Lonchura striata: one gene and its partner. The protein of the gene in region 2 interacts with the protein of the main gene of each other region in a pairwise test. Links are inferred from orthologs where the notes say so. Each region holds a gene or a part of one and is shown on either strand. Other genes may lie near its edges.

Region 1 (9,065 bases), on a different chromosome or scaffold from region 2:
ATGCATAGATCTAAATCTCCCTTGAGGCCCTACACACTTATAGAGCCTGAGGATAACAACTGCAGAAATGCTGGTCTTATTTCTAGAAGTACTGATTTTATTTATTTCTCATTAAATCACCAAATAGGATGCCCTCAATCATCAGGAAAGGCCTGGTTTTTGGATGGGTAGTATCTATTAAAAAAAGACTGCAATTGCAGCCTTGCAGTTGCCTCCCAACAAATAACTTCCTATAAAAAAACACCCAAAACCCAGGAATGACAACTTACTGTATTGAAGAAAACCTTTCAAATGCAGAATGATAACAAAGAGGTCAGAAACAAACTAATATTGCCATCAACTATTAAAAACCTAACTTGTGACCTGTATGTCAGCAGTTAAGCCCTGATATTGCCTGCGGCCACAGAAGTTGAAACTGAGGCAATGCAGGCTGAGTGCAATTTGCTTACAGCTTTTCATTTGATCAGTACTTCTGACAGTAGTAACCTAGAAAATTCAGTGACTTGTACTGTAATACGTCATGTTTTAACAGTATACTAAGCATTTTATGACCAATGCACACATGCAAGTAAAAGCACCTGCCAAAAGTACTCAGGACATGGAAGTAGAGGGAAATATATCAGTCAAAAAAACCCAGAAACATCAATTAGATCTTTTAAGGAGACAAACATACCCCAAAAGTTGCTCATCATCACGCTGGTATGCGTGGCTGCTGGACAGGAGGACAACCCTGGCAAATTTGCTGCTCTTCACCCAAGAAAGCAGAGTTTCACAGAATGGCCTGTACTTGTTCTTCATGCAAAGACACAGACAAAAAAGTGAAAAATTTAATGTGTCCTTAACAATACTAGGTGTTACATATAGTATTTAGCAGTGACGTAAATTATTCTTCATATCCACTTAGTTTTCAGCCCCAGATATATTAGAAAGCAGAGAACTGCCCTGGTTGTTTACTTAAGCAAAACTACAAATAGAATTACAAGAATTATCTCTAAGACCATGTCAAGAACAACAGTACTACCTGTTTTGTGTGCCGTTAATACCAAAGGAAAAAGATTTAGAGCAGGATGGGATGGCAGGATCACACAGTATTTTTCCACACTTTGAACTGCTAAAATACTGCACTACAATTTTCTTTTCTGTGGTGGCATTCTGCTTATTTTAAATTACAGCCACTGCCCAATTAATGAGTAATACTAAATTCCTCATTTTTACCAAATGAACATTGTTTAAATGAATATAGAATAATATGAAATAATTAAATTGGCATAACACAAAAAAGAATAAAGCTATTACAAAGAATACAGAAAAAATATAAATGCAAAGGAAAAAATAAACAAACAAAACCCAGACCATTTTGTATTTTCATGACTCTTAATAACTAAGGAGATATTAGCACTAAAATCTACCAACACAGGCAGCTGTTGTGGGGCTTGGAAAAACAAAATGCCCAAACTGATGATGCAAAATGCCTCAGCAAATGCAGAAATCAGTAAAACTTTACCAACTGCAGAAGGTGTTACAGCCTGAAGTAGAAAAATATTTTTGCCAGCAGAACTATTCAAACCAAACAGTGAAGTAAAAATGATCGATGAACATACATACCTTTATAAAAGGTGATCTGATCTGCAGAACTACAAGTTTCTTTGAAGGTAAGGAGTACACTACAAGAAGAAATCATTGTCATATTAAGCAGAAACTGAGAATCTGGGTTTAAATATATCAAGAATTACCCCACTTACAAACTTCAGGATAGTAAAGTAAACCTTTCAGTTATCAATTCATACGGGAAAGCCTGACAACATCCACTGTGTTAAAACCACATATTTCTGTGCATTGTACTTTCAGTTGTACTAATTTAAGGACTGAATTATGAAACATATATGAGGATTTGCCTTCTGTAATGATTCAGATTATGTATGCATCTTTGCAAAGATTGCCATATTATTCTGAGATTTCTGTGATTTAAGAGGGTAAAAAAAAAGGAGATACAATGATGAATGTAGGGAAAGAAATTAAGAATTTGTAGGGGGAGTGGGAGAAACATTACACAGGGAAAAAGGCAGAGGTATGTAGGAAAGAAGAAGAGTGGATAAGTATCTTTCTAAATGAGAAATTCAACTTGTATTCCAATAATTTATTTTAAGTATGTGCACACTTCATATTGCTTTGGATTAATACCACAGAGAGTTCTGGTTGCACTACAATATGGCTCAAACATTCTAAATGTCAAATTGGTTTTCCAAAATAACAACAGGAACAGTTTCATTTGTGAAATATGAATACATTCCTATCTGTAGGTTTCTGCAGCTGTTATTACTGCCCTTAATTTAAGCACATCAGCAAAATTTAACAACAACGAAAAAGAAAATGTGATGTTCTTGCATCTTATGTCCCTTGCAAACGCTTGCAGTATTCTATACCCACCTTCAGCATTTATACTCAGCTCCATTGAGTTTTCCTCTGCTGTTGCATATGGGTTATTTCCAACCATTGGCACCAGGCAATCGGTATAGAAGTAACCAACTTTAGTCATGTCAAGCGTGGAAATCACCAGATCTATTGCCAACTGACCGACATTCCCCACGGACACGGCTGGCTGAAGTAACAGAACGAACCGAATTACAGCATACTTCATGGATGGCATAATGTGCTCTTCAAATAGTGAAACCTTAAAATCTGGTCAAACATCATTTCTGAAAGTGGCTGCTCATCCTCTGGCAAAGGTGACTATTTCCTACCAGAAGAATTGGTAAATACAGGATTTGGTCTCTGTCCGACAAAAAACATCCTGGCCAGTTCTGTGAATAATCCTGTCTAATTGTAAACTGAAAGAACAGCTTGGAAACTTACCTCCTTCCCCACATTTTTGGATTGAGAGTAGGTAAAAGTCACTCAAGTGACTGATGTGAGACTGGCTCACATGATGCCCAAAGGCAGCTCTGGTATTACATGTTAAGCCTCTAAATCTCAGACTGACTCATAGACAAGAGTATGTAATTTTACATATTTTTTAAGGATGAAAATTATAAGGGTGCCCTTAAATTAATTTCATAAGAATTGCTACGGGTTATCATCGATCGGGGCAGATACTGACCTAATATGACGACACGGAAAGAGAAAGTAAAGAGTCAGTGTCCTTCCAAAGAAACTATTACGGGAAGACTACCATAAACCGCTCGGTTGCTTTCCTCTAATTTATAATCACATCTAAGAATTACTGCTGCTGCTGCCTGTTGGGGAAAGACAGCGGATTTGAGGCGGACAGAAGATGAAGGGGGCCGCGGCAGCACTGCCGTGCCCCCGCCTGGCTGGCACCCAGCTGCCCGCCCGCCGCAGGCGCGCAGCTCGGCAGGGATGCGCTTCCTGGCGCTCGCCAGCGGAGCGGGAATGACTCCCCGGCAGCCGTGCCGGCAGTGGAGCCGCCTGGGCGGCGGCGCTCCTGCAGCCAGCGCAGCGAGGCCAGACCAGACGGCGTTCGTCCCTCCGCAGCCTGCAGCTCCCGCCCGGCAGCGTCGCCTCGGGCACGTCACCCGGCACCGGTGTCACGCGCGATAAAAACACTTCCGAAAACAATCCTAGTCCGAGATTTAAATGTAGCAGAATGGCTTTTTAAAAAAAACATTTGAAGCATTTATATATCACATCTAAATTAAAAAAAAAAAAAAAATCCCAAGCTTTTATTGCAGTGACAACCCACGGGTGCTGCAAATCCAGTAAAAGCACATAGGGCGCGTTAATTTTTAGAGCAACAGCGTATAGCTATAGCTCCGAAATAGCATATAGTTATTGCTCTAAATTAAAATATAGCTTTTGCAGCTCGGCACGGATCGTCTTGACAGGGGCAAACCCGGGGTTCTGAGGAGGGAGAAGCCGGCAGAAAAGGAGAAGACCGCGCTAAGCTCTGCCGCAGACAGAGCCCTCCAAACCCTCTTTTCCCAGAACACCCCACAGATTCCACACACACCGCCTGCCCTGAGCTTTCTCCGCTTATCCCGCGGCCAAGCGCCCAGGGACGAGCCTCGGGCAGGGCAGGGACCGACACCAGAACCCCGTGGGACATGTCCCGTCCCACAGGAGCGGAGCGGAGCCCTCGGCACAGGGACCGCGGGCAGCGAGCCCTCAAACGCACCGAGGGCGAGGGCGGCGAAAGGCGAAGCAGGAGCGTGACTCACCATCAGCAGAGTGAACCCTTTAAAGTCGGGGGCGGCGGAGCCCCCGCCGCGGCCGCACGGAATGAACATGCCGGCCGGGAAGGGAGGAGAAAGCAGGCAGTGAGGGAAGGAAGGAAGGAAGGAGGGAGGGAAGGAGGGAGGGAGGAAGGAAGCAGGGAGGGAGGAAGGAAGCAGGGCGCGGACGCCGCACCCGCGTGCCGCCGCCAGGGGGCGGCGGCGGCGCTGCCCGCGCTGGCTGCGGGGCGGTTGGGCTCGCTCGGTGGCGGTGCCGCCATGTCGCTGCCGCCGGAGAAAGCCTCGGAGCTGAAGCAGATCATCCACCAGCAGCTGCTCAAGGTGGGCCCGGCGCCGGAGAGACTTCCCCGGCCCTCAGGGAGCTGTGCTGGCCTCCGTGCCGGTGTCACCCGGCCGCGGGTGGCGGCGGCGCCCGCTCCGGCGCCCCGCTTTGTTTTCCCAGTTGGGTCGCTGCAGGTGGTTTCCAGGCGCCGCTTGGTCGCTTTCCTGTTGCTTTTTGAGCGAGGGTCTTGAACTGGCCGGGGAATAAGTAAGGAGGCTGTAACTCCTATAGCGCTTGTTAGTGCAGTGGTGAATATTCCTGCCCGTCACAGGAGAACGGGGATCTTGGAGTGAGTCCAGAGGAGGCCAGCAAGATGATTAGAGGGGGGCAGCGCCTCTGCTTGAGGAAGGCTGAGAGAGCTGGGATTGTGCAGCCGGAGAGGAGAAGGCTCGGTGGGAACTTCATAGCAGCCTTCTGAGGGGAGCCAGCAAGAAAGGAGACAGACTTTTTACCACAGCGTGTAGTGACAGGACAAGGGGAGATGGATTCAAATTGAAAGACATATTAGGAAGAGTTTTTCACTGTGATGGGTGTTGAGGGACTGGAGCAGGTTGTGGATGTCCCATCCCTGGAAGTGTTTCAGGCCAGGCTGGGTGGGGTTCTGAGTGACCGGATCTAGTGGAAGGTGTTCCTGCCCATGGCCAGGGTTTTGGAATTAGATGATCTTGAAGGTGTTTTCCAACAAGGTCGTTCTGTGATTCCGTTTCAGGTCCTGGTGACTGTGTCCTTCGCAGCCTTCCAGTGTGAGAGTCAGCTCTATAAATCCATCTGCTTTCACAGCTCAGATGATGGGCATTCTCAGACATCCCTTTGAGTATAGGGAAAGCTTGCAAAGGAGATCTACTGCTTTTGTGCCCAACCTATATAATGAATATTTTTTCCCCTTAAAAAATAAGGAAGTATTATATTAAGGTTGAATTTTGAGGGAGACAAGAAAATGGAACAGTGACCATTTTGTAATTTATGTATTTCCAGACCTTTTTGTAAGGGGGGACGTTCCAGATGAGTTGCTGTCAAAGAGCAGTGAAAATGCCAAGGTTTTGTATGCTTGTAATTTTTTTTTACTGGGAGAGTTGCTTTTGTAAGATAGTGGCTCATTTGATTAGTTGTGCAAGGATCAGTATTTTGATATCGTTATTTCTGTGTTCTTAGGAAAACACCATTAGCCTTACAGACTTAATTGGTAAGTTGTACCTGCTGCCATACAGAGGGCTGGTGTTTGTAGCACATAATGAATTTTCTTTCAGATGGATGTCCATGGGAGGATACGAGAAGTTCTTGCTGAGACTGTACGAGAAGAGCTGGCGCCTGAGCAGCAGCAGTTGTCCACAGAAGATCTGATAAGAGCCCTAAGACAGCGGGGAATCATTGATGATGTTATGAAGGAACTTAAATTTGTAACTGTAAGTAGCTTTTTAAGAAGGGAAATATTTCTGCTTATTCCTCTTACTGCCGTGGTTTTTCGACAAAGTGAAACCGCTGCTTCTGGAGTTTTGTAAGGACCTTACTGATTTGAGACATTATAGGAGCAGAGAAGATTAATGCACATGCTGAAATCGGTTTGGTGATAATACTGCACTGAAAATATTTGTTCAGTTTTAGAAGGGAGTATACCTAAGGAATGGCATTCAGACGAAATGGAAGATCCTTTAATTTTTAGAAGACTGTGGTAAGAGCACTGTTGCATCCCTTGAGTCCTTAAAAAGTCTTAATTGTAATTCCAGGATGTGAATGAAACGGAGAGGACTTTGGCTCCAAAACCATCAACACATTTTGTTGACAGAGAACCACCAGTTTTGAAAAAAAGTATGTTTCTTGTTTATTTAAATGTTTAGATCATGGTTTTAAAGCAAATTTGAAGTCTCTGATTTTGGCACTCTGAATTAGTAATCCAGTATGAACTGGAATAAAGGTGGATGTTTCCTCTGCTTATCCACAGGGAGTAAACTCATGTAAGCAGCAGCAATCAGTGTTGCATTAAATATTATTTATTATTAATTCATTTACTTTACACAAAGGTATATTTTAAAATCACTTTCTTCTAAGCATGTTTCAAAGAAGTTTAATTTTTTGCTAGTGTCCTGTTAGTTACCTGATATTTAACAAATTAAGCTTTCTAAGATCTGTTTGTAGTCTCTTCATTTTTATTGCTACGCTTTGCAGCTAACATTGACCCAACACGGAGGTATCTTTACCTTCAGGTTTTGGGTGGAAAAGCTTTTCTGGAACATCTTCAGGAACCAGAGCCTCTGCCTGGCCAGATCTGTTCTACCTTCACTCTGTGTTTACATTTTCGAAACCAGCGCTTCCGTTCCAAACCTGTACCCTGTGCCTGTGAGCCAGATTTTCAGGATGGTTTTCTACTTGAAATACACAAGGATACCCTAGGTAAGGAATATTGTGGGTTTAAAGCTGATGCTGTTGGGATTTCTTCTGACCTGAGAGTTATTGTGAAATATGTTTGGTATTATTTAGTGAATTTTTTTCCTGGTTTTTGTCATGTTTTCCTGAGAAAACTGATTACTGTATTGGGTTATACCCCTTGTAGATCTTTCTCTGCTCTTGCTCTTTTCCTTCTTTTTCACTCTAAAATAACTTGAAATTGACCAGCTTTATAAATTCTTAAATGTTAATTCCATTTATATTTTTTGTGTATCTGAACTAGTTGCATTGCAGTACTCAACTGCAAAATAATTTTATCTTCTCTGTAATCTCTCTGTAGCTCTGTCCTAAAGTGAGTATGGTGTTAGAGATAGGATCATTGTTTACACTTCTGGACTCAAGGTCTTTCTTTATACTTATTACAGACATTGCATTTTGTTGCATACTGTTTTAAAATTCTGAGGAGAACTTGGGATGATAATATTCTTGTTGTTTTATTTTGGTTTAATAATGGCAGGTGATGGAAGCAAGATGGTGGATGCAACCACTATGTTATCTATATGTGACCCAGTACATATGGTTCTGATCAAAACAGACACATTTGGTGAGACCACACTGGTAGCATCCTATTTCTTGGAGTGGAGGTCTGTCTTGGCTGCAGAGAATGGCATAGCAAGTGTTGCTGTGGAACTCCTGGGTGTAGGTAAGGATGAAAAATAAGCATGTTGTAATGACTTAAAATATTGAGTAGTGAGCTCGCTTACAAGCTTAAAGCAGTATTTTTGATCTAGTTAATTTTTTTTCTTCAATTCAGAAGTAACTGTAAATTATCCTTAGAAAATCCCTAGAAGACTTAATGGTCAGATTTTTCTGTTATCAAGCTGCTAAAAATGAGTATTCCAGATCCCATATAAAAATGGTTCTCATGCCTGGGAATTCCCACTATGGATTACCTGCAAAATCTGGTTAAGTTATCAGAATCAAACTAACCAACCAAAAATCCAGTTCATCTCCAGGAATATATCTGGTCAGTGCACTGGGGAGTAAAATCCAGCTTGTGTGCCTTTCATAGCAAATTAACAATGTCTGGAAAAAAGGATCTCTGCTCTGCTCCCATTTATCCCAGTAGCTGGAAGTGTGGTTCTGAACGGCTTGGTTTAGGTGCTTAGCAGTTAGTACGCGTGTGTATTTTTGTGTGTCACTTGTCCCCAGTCCTCTTCTCAGGACTTCCAACCCAAGATTTAGGATATGATTTAGTGAATGAAGACTAGGTCTCTCATTACTTCCTACAAGACTTTTTACAAGAGCAGGTAATGAGAGGACAAGATCAGAGTAAATTTAGATTAGATTTTAAGAAGAAATTTTTCCTGGAACAAGTTTCCCAGAGAAGCTGTGGATGCCACATCCTGAGAAGTGTTCAAGGTCAGGTTGGATGGACCTCTGACCAACATGATTTTGTGGAAGGTGGCAGGGGGATTGGAAATAGGTGGTTTCTAAGATTCCATCCAACCAGGCCATTCTGATTTTAATATTCTGTAATGACTTGGAAATGCATAACAAATAAGTAGGGTTTAATTCTTGAATGGGTTATGGAGCAAGTTAAATTTAATTCTCATTAGCTTTATTCCAAGTAATAAAGTATCAATCCAATAAATCAAGTGCTTTTTCTCCTCTTCAAAATCCTGTTATTGTACAAAATGCATCAAGAACATCAAAGGATGCTGCCATCTCAGATAAACAGATAAACTATTATGTGAGGTTTCCATTGCTTGTATTGCTTATGAACCCATCTGTGATCTGTTTTGTAAAGCTCATTGTTGTTTATGTAATTTAAAATTTTCAGCATTAGGCAACAATATTAAGTCCAGGGGGGTTGTTGTTCATTTGTTTGTTGTTTTGGGGAGTTTTTTCTAAGTTGATAAATTTCTTTGTATGTCAGCCAGAGTCCTTCATAAGAACTGTATCCTGGAGGAAAATGAGCTTCACTTATTTCTACCTATTTAAATTTAATCTACTTGCGTAATCAGTAGAAATAGGCACATTTACAGTGTGTGATTCTCTGGCTCGATTTTAGATGCCTATTCCAGACATTTCTAGAATAACATTGTAGGATTCATCTCATATGTCCCAGTACTGGCTGCAAATAGGGCTGTGGAACATTTTATTGGAAG
Region 2 (10,036 bases):
CAGGACCAAAACCAGTCTGAATCACAGCCTTCAGGTACAGATTTGTCAGGCATCGCTCCTGGGATGGAGATAAAAACCCCCAAAATAACAGCTGACATATTTACCAAGTCTAGTGATCTGCTGGAGAAGTTTTCAGCACTTTCTAGTCAATATATTAAGATTTACTGCTTTAATTAATGGTGATTGAAAGAAGAAGGATTCCAAATAAAAACAAGCAGTTCACTGAGCTGCGTAACATTTGAAATAAAAATTGTGCCCCATGTCCCACAATATTGTAAAAGACTTTCTTTTAAATGCACAGGTTTTATTTAATTCTATTCAAGTCCAGTTGAGAAAGAAAATTTAGGATTCTCTTTCTCAGATTCAAAGAACCGAGTTTCACACAAACCTTCTGGCTGTCACAAAATACCAATAGGAGAAAAGAAAACAGAGAATTTGGAAACTGTGACAGAAACTTGCCTGTTTCTGTCTGCGTACCAATCCCAGGAGGGAAGCTGCCTGTGCCATCACTGTGTCACCACTGTGCCAGAAATCTGACAGAAATATTCAGAAGCTCGCATATTTTCCACTTGCTTTGTTGGGAACACTGTCTGGAATTAATGTCTGCAAAACTCCAACCTGTGTGTTCTGGTTTGTCAGTGATCCTTACAGAGAAAACACGCCCAGATGTGAAGATATGACTTGTGGAGATGGGAGATGCTCAGTAAATCAGGATTTACACACAGAATGGGGCTGCAACTCACATTAAAAGCAAAAAGACTGCCAGCACGTTGTTTCTGCTGCACATTTAAAAATACCAATAACCACAAAATTTAAAAATACTCAGGAACATTGACTTGGTACAAGCACACTCCTACAGTTCAGGGACACCCACAATGGAAATCACACATATCCACAAACAGCTGGGGAAGACAACCCCCAGCCATCCTACTTTTGCAATCCCACTTTAAATCAAGTGCAGGAACATGTGGAATACAGCAAAAGCAAAACATTTGAGGTCTCGGGGCTTTTAAACTTCCAAATGAGCTGTGATTCCCCAGCAAAGCTGTACTTACCTCTAAGCCCAGCTTTAGAATCCCTGCTGGTCCATCAGCTCAGCAGAGATTTAAAGGCAGGCAGGGAAGGAGCAGACAGACAACAAGACAAAATAGTAAGCCACACTTCCTCCAGGCAAAGCAGTGACCCAAATCCATCAGCAAAAACAAGAGGAGGAACATTTGCCCCTGGCTTTATCTTATTAAAATAAAAATGATGATATTTGGAGAGACTTCAGTGAGCCAGCAGTGCTCCTGTACCTGCATGATGTTGGGAATGTTAAATCTGGGAACAAATGGGACAAATGCTGCTTGGGAGACGCTTTCCCCTCCAGCTCCCCCTTGGGAAAGGCACAGAACACCCCCAGCAGCTGACACCATCCACCAGGAGCTCCTCAACTGGTGATCTTTTGGCAGCTGTACAAATTGCTGTTGGTTTTTTCAAGGAAAAATTCTCCCAGAGGTGAAATACAGCTGAAATAAGCCATGGGAAATGAAAAGCAAGCAGGAAAAAGGTTTGGGAGGTGGTTAAGGGCCAACAAAACTGAAACTGTCCAAAAGGAGTGACTGCACTCGGCTGGGAGGTTACAGCAGGTACAGCTGGCAGCATCTAGAAAGGGTTTTTACAGGTCCTGCAGAGAGTAAATTTATCTATTTTTGAATATTTAATAAAATAAAACCACAGGGGAAACTTATTTAACACTGTCATGTCTAAAGTATCAGAGAGGAAGATCCCCACCCTTAGGATTTTATTACTCCATTTATTTTCTTGACAGTTTTACCTTCTCAAGCCACTGGAACTGTTGATCCTCAGCCACGTAGCAACTACACTGGCACAATACAACCTAAAAAAAAGTAAAAACTTGTGTAAGTAAGTGGTTTAAAGGCCACAACAGCAGCTCATCAGCACCTGTAAGGATGATGTGGCTGCAGACAATAACTTGTTCAGTTATTTTGGGTTTCTTTAACTCTGTTTCAATGAGGAATTTTTGCTCACAAATGAAGTGAAGCCACGAGGCTGTGACATCTCTGTGCTGAGCTCCACACAGAACTTCACACAGTTTTAGTGAGAATTAACCCTTCAGATCACTTATGAGATTTATCCATGATCCTGCAGTATCTAGTTTGGGGCTGGATGAAAGCTCTCTTCTTCAGAGAGCCAAACCACAGAGGAATTAATGCTCAAGTCACTTACTGTGGGATCTGAAATCAATCTGTAGAACAAACAGAAAGAGTCTGTGGGAAGGACATTTGTGGTGCTGGATGTTCTGCACCACTCATTCCACAGCTTCACAACTCCAACCACTTCCCAGCACACAGAATCCAGGATAAAAGATGACAGGAAAGCTGCAAAAGCCATAAAATATACTGTTAATTTATAAAGAATAAAACCTCTGCTTTACAAATAAATAGCTGGACTAAACTAGAATATTCCTTTGCAACCTGAAGGAAGAATAACTCATTTATATCAACTTAGATTTACTAACCAAATCTAAGAAACATCAACAATGTGATTAGCCCCACTTATTCAAATTTAAAAAGATAAAGAGCTGTTCAACATATACAGATCCCTAACATAAAAATCACTTGTTCTTAGGAATTATAGCATTACAATCAACTTCAATTTCTTTAGTACTAATTAAGGATGTGAAATATCCTTAATCTGACATAGCAGATTAAAACCAAAAATCAGTGAAGCAGCAAGGCACAACTATTACACTGATTCTAGAAAACAGAGGCAAGAGTGTGGCAAAAACGTTCAGAAATCAGATTCCTATCAAAAGCTACAGAAGACAGATCCAAAATAGCTATTACTGTTTTTTCAAGGGAAAGCCTGAACAAAACCCAAACAAATGAGCAAAGTTAACTTTGATAAAATCTAAATGTGATGTAAATGTCACTTCAATGCAAACAAGACTTCTGGGTACTATTAGATTAAAACTTTTGCCAATGAATAAACAATCCCAGAGTTTACCAAACAAAAGCCAGTTAAAGGAAAAGGGGGATTGTCCTAACTAAAATACCAAATTAAAACACATTTCACTTTTCAACTGAAAATACATCAACTTTCACGAGGAGCAAGCAGCTGTAACAATAACTGTGTTTTACATCTACAAAGCAACTTCAGCTTTCTCTGGACCACTCAGCTGCCTCCAGGTTTAACCTCTGCTGCTAAATAAGGAGCTGCACGTTCAGTAAATAGAGGGGATTAATAAAGGCTGGAGAGGGATATTTCAAAATCTAATGGGATGACAGGTCAAAGGGAATGAGCTCAACGTAAAGAGGGGAGGGTTAAATGGGATTTTGGGAGGGATTGTTCCATGTGAGGGTGGCACAGGGTGCCCAGAGCCTGGATCCCTGGCAGTGCCCAAGGCCAGGCTGGACACTGGGGCTTGGAGCAGGGAATGTCCTGGCACATTTACACCTCCCTCCTCCTCAATTTATTCCGCACACCCCAGCAGTTCTGGTTCTCACGCACCCGCAGCGTTCCTGCCGATGGCCACGATGAACCTGGAGCACACCAAGGGCTGCTCGGCACAGCTCCACAGGAGCTGGATCTCCCTGGGGAAAGAACCACAGAACAGCCCGAGCTGGCAGGGACCCACAAGGAATTGAGTCCCACTCCTGGACCTGCCCAGACCCCAAAATCCCACCCTGGGCATCCCTGGCAGCGCTGCCCAAAGGCTCCTGCAGCTCTGGCAGCCTCGGGGCCGTGCCCATTCCCTGGGCAGTGCCAGCACCTCCGGGGAAGAGCCTTTCCCTGATCTCCAGCTGCGCCGCCGGTACCTTTTCTTCTCGATCTCCCTGCGGATCTCCCGGTCCTCAGGCGTCTCCTCCCGCGCCTCCTCCTCCTCGTCCAGGCCGGCCCGGGACGGAGCCACCACCACCTCCCCGAAGAAGGTCGCCATGGCCGCCCGCGCCTGCGCCGCGCCGCCCTCAGCCCGGAGCAGGCGCGGGAGGCGCCGGCGCGGCCCCTCAGCGCCGCTCGCAGAGACGGGGCTCCGCACCCCGTCCCTGGGCAGCTTCTTCCAAGGATTAACCATCCTTTCAGTGAAGAAAATCATCCAGATGGCCCATTTAAACCTCCCCTGCCTGACCTCGATGCTGTTTTGTTCTGTCCCTGTTCCTGGAGCAGAGCCCGACCCCCCGGCTGTCCCCTCCTGGCAGGAGCTGTGAGAGCCACAAGGTCCCCTGAGCCTCCTTTGCTCCAGCTCAGCCCCTTCCCAGCTCCCTCAGGAGCTCTCCAGCCCCTTCCCAGCTCCCTCAGGAACTCTCCATTCCCTTCCCAGCTCCCTCAGGAACTCTCCATTCCCTTCCCAGCTCCCTCAGGAACTCTCCATTCCCTTCCCAGCTCCCTCAGGAACTCTCCAGCCCCTTCCCAGCTCCCTCAGGAATTCTCCAGCCCCTTCCCAGCTCCGTTCCCTGCCCTGGACACGCTCCAGCCCCTCCAGGTCTCTCCTGCAGGACCAGAACTGGGCACAGCCCTGGAGGGGCCTCTCCGAGCCAGCCCAGAGGGACAATCCCTGCCCTGCTCCTGCTGGACACACAATTCCTCATCCAGCCCAGCTGCCAGCGGCCTCTTGCCCCCCTGGGCACCCCTGGGCTCGTGTCCAGCCCCTGGCACAGCACCCCCAGGGCCTTTTCCAGCTCTCCAGCCCCACCGGGGTTGTTGTCCCTTGGCCTGGTTGAACCAAAGAAGAGCACAGTGACATCTAGGTGTGTGTACAGCTTTACTTTGGTCCACTAACATATGTACATCATCAAAGCCTGTAACATGAAAGAATCTGATTCCTTTATGATTCTGTCCTGCACTTGAACATTTGCCTCTGTTCATGCTGCCTGATCACCATCACAGACTCAGGTCCTGCTCTAAAACAAACCAAAACACCCCCCAAAAGTCACATTAAATAAAGATCCTACTTTTAAAGGTCTACTACTTCGTGTCCCTGAGTACAGCTAGACCAAACCAAAAATGCTCACGTAAAGGAAGGTGAAAGGACTGCCAATTCTACAAGAGCCACCATGCTCCTTTAATAAATTAAAAATAAATACTCTTAAAGAGTGGAAGACTCAAAATACCTTTCCAGTTTAATAATTTCTCTTCCCAGTAACTGTATAAAATTAGGAAATACAGACCATCACATGCTTTGCCTAGAAAATAAAAGTGTCAGGGTCCCTAAGGATCCCTCTTGGATCTGCAGCTCCAAAAACCAGCACCATCTCCAGCTTTCAGGGATCATGAACCTCTGTGTGCAGTGACAGAATACAGCACCTGAAAGAAAACCAGCTTTGTAAATCTAAACCTAGATTAGAAATTCAAACCTACCGGCCCAATTTTAGCTGTTTGAAGTGAAAATTAATAAAAACTCTGATGTTCAGTTTGGTTATTCCCAAATTTGAGTAGTTGTACTCCAGAGAACATTGAGAATATGCAGCTGCTAATAGAAAAAAATAGTGGACTTATTACCTTATAACAAATTTTGCTCCTCAAAGAAAACACAAAGCCACCTTCAAGTTTTATCACTAAACACAAATGTGTTTGTATTTCAGAAACCAAATATAGAATCCAGATAAACATTTATCTTGAATTTACAAAATTCTGCTGCATCCTATTAAAGACTATGCTCTAAATAAAACTTCCTGGGGCAAGAACCATTTAAATTATTTTTGGACTTCACATGGAAATTTTAAGGAAGAAGAAGAAAAAAAGGAGTATTTCTCTGTGCTAACATCTGACATAGCAAAAGTGATGGTAAAATCAGAGTTATCAGTGAGGGTGTTGAAATTGTTCTCACTGATGGCATCTCCTTTTTCCATGATGCCTTTCCATTTGTACAAGGATTTCTGTCATTATTCACCAGGATTGTGCAGCTGCAGTAATTTTTTCACCCCCCCAAATCCTTCTGGATCCCACTACCAATCAGACCAACCCAATTCCCGAACTTGCTATTTCAGTTCACATGAGCTAGGTTTGGATCCATCTGATACTCTGTCACATCTTCTATTGAATGACAAAATCAGGAAGGGAAGCTGCAGCACAGAGGAGGAACCCTGGAGTGGGGAAGGAGCAGAGATTCCCTGATGTTGGGCTGGGGGAGCCATCGTGGGGCTCCCACCAGCACAGTTCCAGGGAAAACTAAGAATTCAGAGCTGCTGTGTGTTTTTGTTGTTGATATGTCTTCAATCAGAGACTTGCACATATTTTCCTGGCAAAATTTTCTTTCTTGTCAACAAGAGCCAACTCAAACATTGTGGAAACAGGAGATAAACTACAATGGTCAGAAACTGGTAAGGTTTAATCAATGGGAAATCCAACATTCAAACACTTTAAATATGGAGGAACAACAGAAACGTAGCAAAAAAAGGTCTGGAATGTCGGAATCCTGCACCTCAAGCTTTCCACGCATAAAGAAAACAGAACAAGTGTTTTGTTTGTTTTTCTATTTTATAAAGAAAACACACAAAAACCCTTTAGGCCCAAGAGTTCACCTGCATTTCATAATCTTAAAAGTTTACAGTATAGAAGTCACATTAATGATGTACTACCTGTCAGCAGAACCCTCTGTTCACCAAAGCCTCTGGAACTGGCAAATCAACTCCTTCACTGGTAACTGCTTCTCAGCAATGCAAGCAGAGAACACTGAACACCTGCACTGAATCAAGCTGTGAAGTTATCAGCCTTTTCATTCCTCTTTGGAAGCAATGCTTGCATCCACCAGGTTTTTAGAGTGTGTACTATGATTTAGAAGCCTGTTACTATTGTAGATGATTTCATACAGCATTAGAGATGTTTGAAATCTGTTCTTGAATGTTGCATGACCTAGGTAGTATTTCATTGCAGCACCCATAACAATAATACTCGACATACTGCTATTAACCTGTTTGCAGTGTTTTAACATTTTTTTAACTCTTGTTTATATGTAATAAAATACCAGTAAAGACAAAAAATTGCCCCTATAATGAGGCACATTTTGGCATCTGTGCTAAATGCTGCTACATGGGCAGGCAAGTGCAAGTCAAAATATGAAAAAGGAGAAAGTCATCATCTAATCACATTCATAACTTTTTCATAGAAAAATATAAATATATTCCCTGAAATGTAGGACAAAGAACAGCCAGCGCCCATCAGGAGTTCTAGTGCTATTACCATTAAAAAAAAAAAAAAAAAAAAAGAAAAATAAAAAACCAGAGATGGGCTGGCTATCCTTTTGTTAAGGTTACGTTTCGCAGGCGGCATCCTCGAGGGCTCTGTCGTCGTCGTCGCCGTCGTTGTAGCGCACGGTGCGCCGGCCGCCGTTGCGCGTGCGGATCTTGGAGCGCCGCGGCGCCCGCCGGCACGCGCCGAACTCCACCTCCTCCGAGTCCTGCTCCTGGCTGCCTTTCCGCCGTTTCCTGCGCTGCGGCCTCCTGCAAGGCCTCAGGGAGTCCTGGCTGAGGCTTTCTTTCCTGCCGGGTTTGGATTTCCTCTTGCGCTTCCTGCTTTCCGTGGCGTCGCTGCAGACGGTGGTGTCGGTTCCAGAGTCCGAGGAGAAACAGGTGAAGTTGGCTTTGGATCTTCCTGCAGTCCCAGGTGCCTCCACATCCTCGGAGACAGAGCTTTTCTCCTCTTGTTTCCCCCCCTTTTCAGATTCTGTTGTTTCCTTGAAGTCATCCACCCGTTTTAATCTCTTGAAAGAAGCTCTGGGTTTTTTATTTGCTGCTACTCTGGTATTTTTAGTTTCAAGTTTAGCTAAGTCAGAATCAACCTCCTCTTCAGAGTTACTCGTACAATGGTTGTGGGCTGAAGCTGCCTGCCTAGAAATTCCCCAGTTTCCCCCATTTTCTACCCTGTGGTTTGTGGAATTCTCCTCTGAGGAGTTATAGTCAAAATTATTCAGAGCTGCAGCACAGAGGGGTTTGTGTGGCTGCGTGTGGTCATCACTCTGCTTCCGAGTTTCTGTCTCCGAGTCAGTCCTCTCATTCTCAGACTCAATAATATATTTCCTTTTAGAAACAGAAGGCTCAGGGCAGGAAGGTTTTTTCCTGCCAGAGACCTGCTCACTCTCATTTTCAGACTTGGAACAAGCCTCCACCTCCGAGCTGTTAAATAGCTTCTTCCTGCAGGCTGAGGACACGCTGCCCTGGAGCTGCTTGCGGTTCTTCCTGACTGGGTAAACACTTTCTGAGCTGGATAATTCCTCCTTGGCTTTGCTCATGATCTTGATCTTGCTGGCTGCCAGCGTGGCACACCTGCGGGGGTTCTTCTTCTCCCCCACGCTGGACACCCTGATGTGTTTCTTGTAGTTGATGATGCACGTCCTGCTCCGCAGCACTTTGCCACTTTGGCTGGGCTCCTCTGATGTTTGCTCTACAAAAGAAAGATGAAAAAGTTCTTTTTCATGTCTTACATTCCTGAAATTATTAGTTTATTATGCCCAGACCCTATCACCTTTAATGAAATACACAAATATTGAATTTTATTTTGAATTCAACTGTTAAGTGCAATTTATCTCAAGTCTTTACTAAAAATACAAGCAGTATCCCAGGAATACTTTTAACTCTTGAGATTGTCACTTTCAAACCTTTTCACGGTCTCAGAAAGGCTTTCTTTAGCATTACTCTGTTAATTAGCTGAAAAATTACAAATTCCCTCACCAAGCAAATGCTGTCATATTAGTAATACTTGTATCATTAAAAGTTGTATTTTCCTTACTAGAATAAAACTTGCAGTGTTAATTACATATTTTAGCCCTTTTATCCTAAAAAAGTAACTATAATATTTCATGTGGATGCCAATTTCATGTGGATTTCAAATTTCAATTTTGGATGGTTTCAGGTGGAGAACACTGAAACCCTTCAGCTCCTTAGTGACTTTAACACTCAGATTGCTGCTAACAGTGAATCTTCCAGTCACTGTTTTAAAAATTAATATAGAACTTGCTTTTGTTGTGTTTTAAAACAAATATTCCATGTGTAAATCATATACTATGAAGATCAGTGTTTCCCTTCTAAGTAAGACAATTCATACATATGAATAAAAAAAAAATCAAAAGTTCTTGAAGTAAATTTAAAAATGCAAGCAGAGGGAAAAGTTCTCAGGCATAAATAAAAATGTCCAGCTTGAGTACCAATATTAACAATCTCTTCACATAAAAAATCTGGTCCTTATTTAAATGTAGATCCTTTTATGTACTACTTCAGTATATCCCTATTTTTAAGTTTTCGAAGGAAAATTAATTTCTTTTCTTTGTTACGAGCTTCCAGACATGATACATGAATATTACTACTTGTAGCAGTTGTATTGTCTGATTTTTATGGCCAAAGCACAGCATATTTCTGCTGCACACTGAAAAATGCTGTATGAAATGTGAATTAATCCACAGGCTAAAATGAAGAGTTAGATCTTATACAATATTATTGTATAAGATATTATAGAATTATTGTTGCATACAAATATTATTGTCCTCCAATATTATTAAGTAGTTGGAATACAAGAGTAAAGAATAAAGAAATCCAGCCTGCAACACTGCCAAAAGATTAAAATTATATACAAAATTTTAAATTTGGAACAAATCTATAATAAAATGTATTGAAATTCCCCACTGAACATCCACAGATAAAAGCTGCAGAGCTACAACCAGGTGGCAGAGGCAGAAAGAGGGAGCATTAAACCAAGCACCCCCAGAAACTGGGAGAGCTTTTAAAAGCCTCAAAGATGTGAAATTTTAGTTCATCAGGTGTCCTGGAGTTCAGGCCAAACTCCAAACCTGGAATACTGGACTGGAAAATCCAGCCTGAGCTCCAACCAGCTCAGCTGCAGGGGGCACTGCAGCCCACAAGGCATTGGCACATTTTATCTGAAACAAATTCTGTTTCTTTAAATCTTTTCTGATATATAAAATCCCATACTAAACACTACACACCTATAATATATATTATATATAACATAATCTACATTACAGAACTATATACAGACTGTTTTACATATCAAAATAGATTATGTGATATTTATATTATATATA

Evidence for each region.
Region 1: the proteins of PSMG1 (region 2) and PSMG2 interact in binary tests that used the Homo sapiens proteins (3 or more experiments, as listed by UniProt). The link is inferred for Lonchura striata from reciprocal best matches to the Homo sapiens genes PSMG1 and PSMG2.

Annotation. Positions count from the first base shown.
Region 1 is NC_134603.1:53,162,417-53,171,481, reverse strand, and holds the start of PSMG2 (proteasome assembly chaperone 2), read right to left. Parts: upstream 4,300-9,065; 5' UTR 4,245-4,299; coding exon 4,176-4,244; intron 2,600-4,175; coding exon 2,428-2,599; intron 1,665-2,427; coding exon 1,606-1,664; intron 793-1,605; coding exon 674-792; intron 1-673. Other genes in the region: CEP76 (centrosomal protein of 76 kDa), read left to right, coding at 4,449-4,511, 5,760-5,915, 6,237-6,318, 6,676-6,900, 7,412-7,597. UniProt on the Homo sapiens protein: Chaperone protein which promotes assembly of the 20S proteasome as part of a heterodimer with PSMG1.
Region 2 is NC_134604.1:113,906,551-113,916,586, reverse strand, and holds the start of PSMG1 (proteasome assembly chaperone 1), read right to left. Parts: upstream 3,960-10,036; 5' UTR 3,944-3,959; coding exon 3,822-3,943; intron 3,597-3,821; coding exon 3,514-3,596; intron 2,382-3,513; coding exon 2,230-2,381; intron 1,880-2,229; coding exon 1,817-1,879; intron 1-1,816. Other genes in the region: BRWD1 (bromodomain and WD repeat-containing protein 1), read right to left, coding at 7,253-8,382. UniProt on the Homo sapiens protein: Chaperone protein which promotes assembly of the 20S proteasome as part of a heterodimer with PSMG2.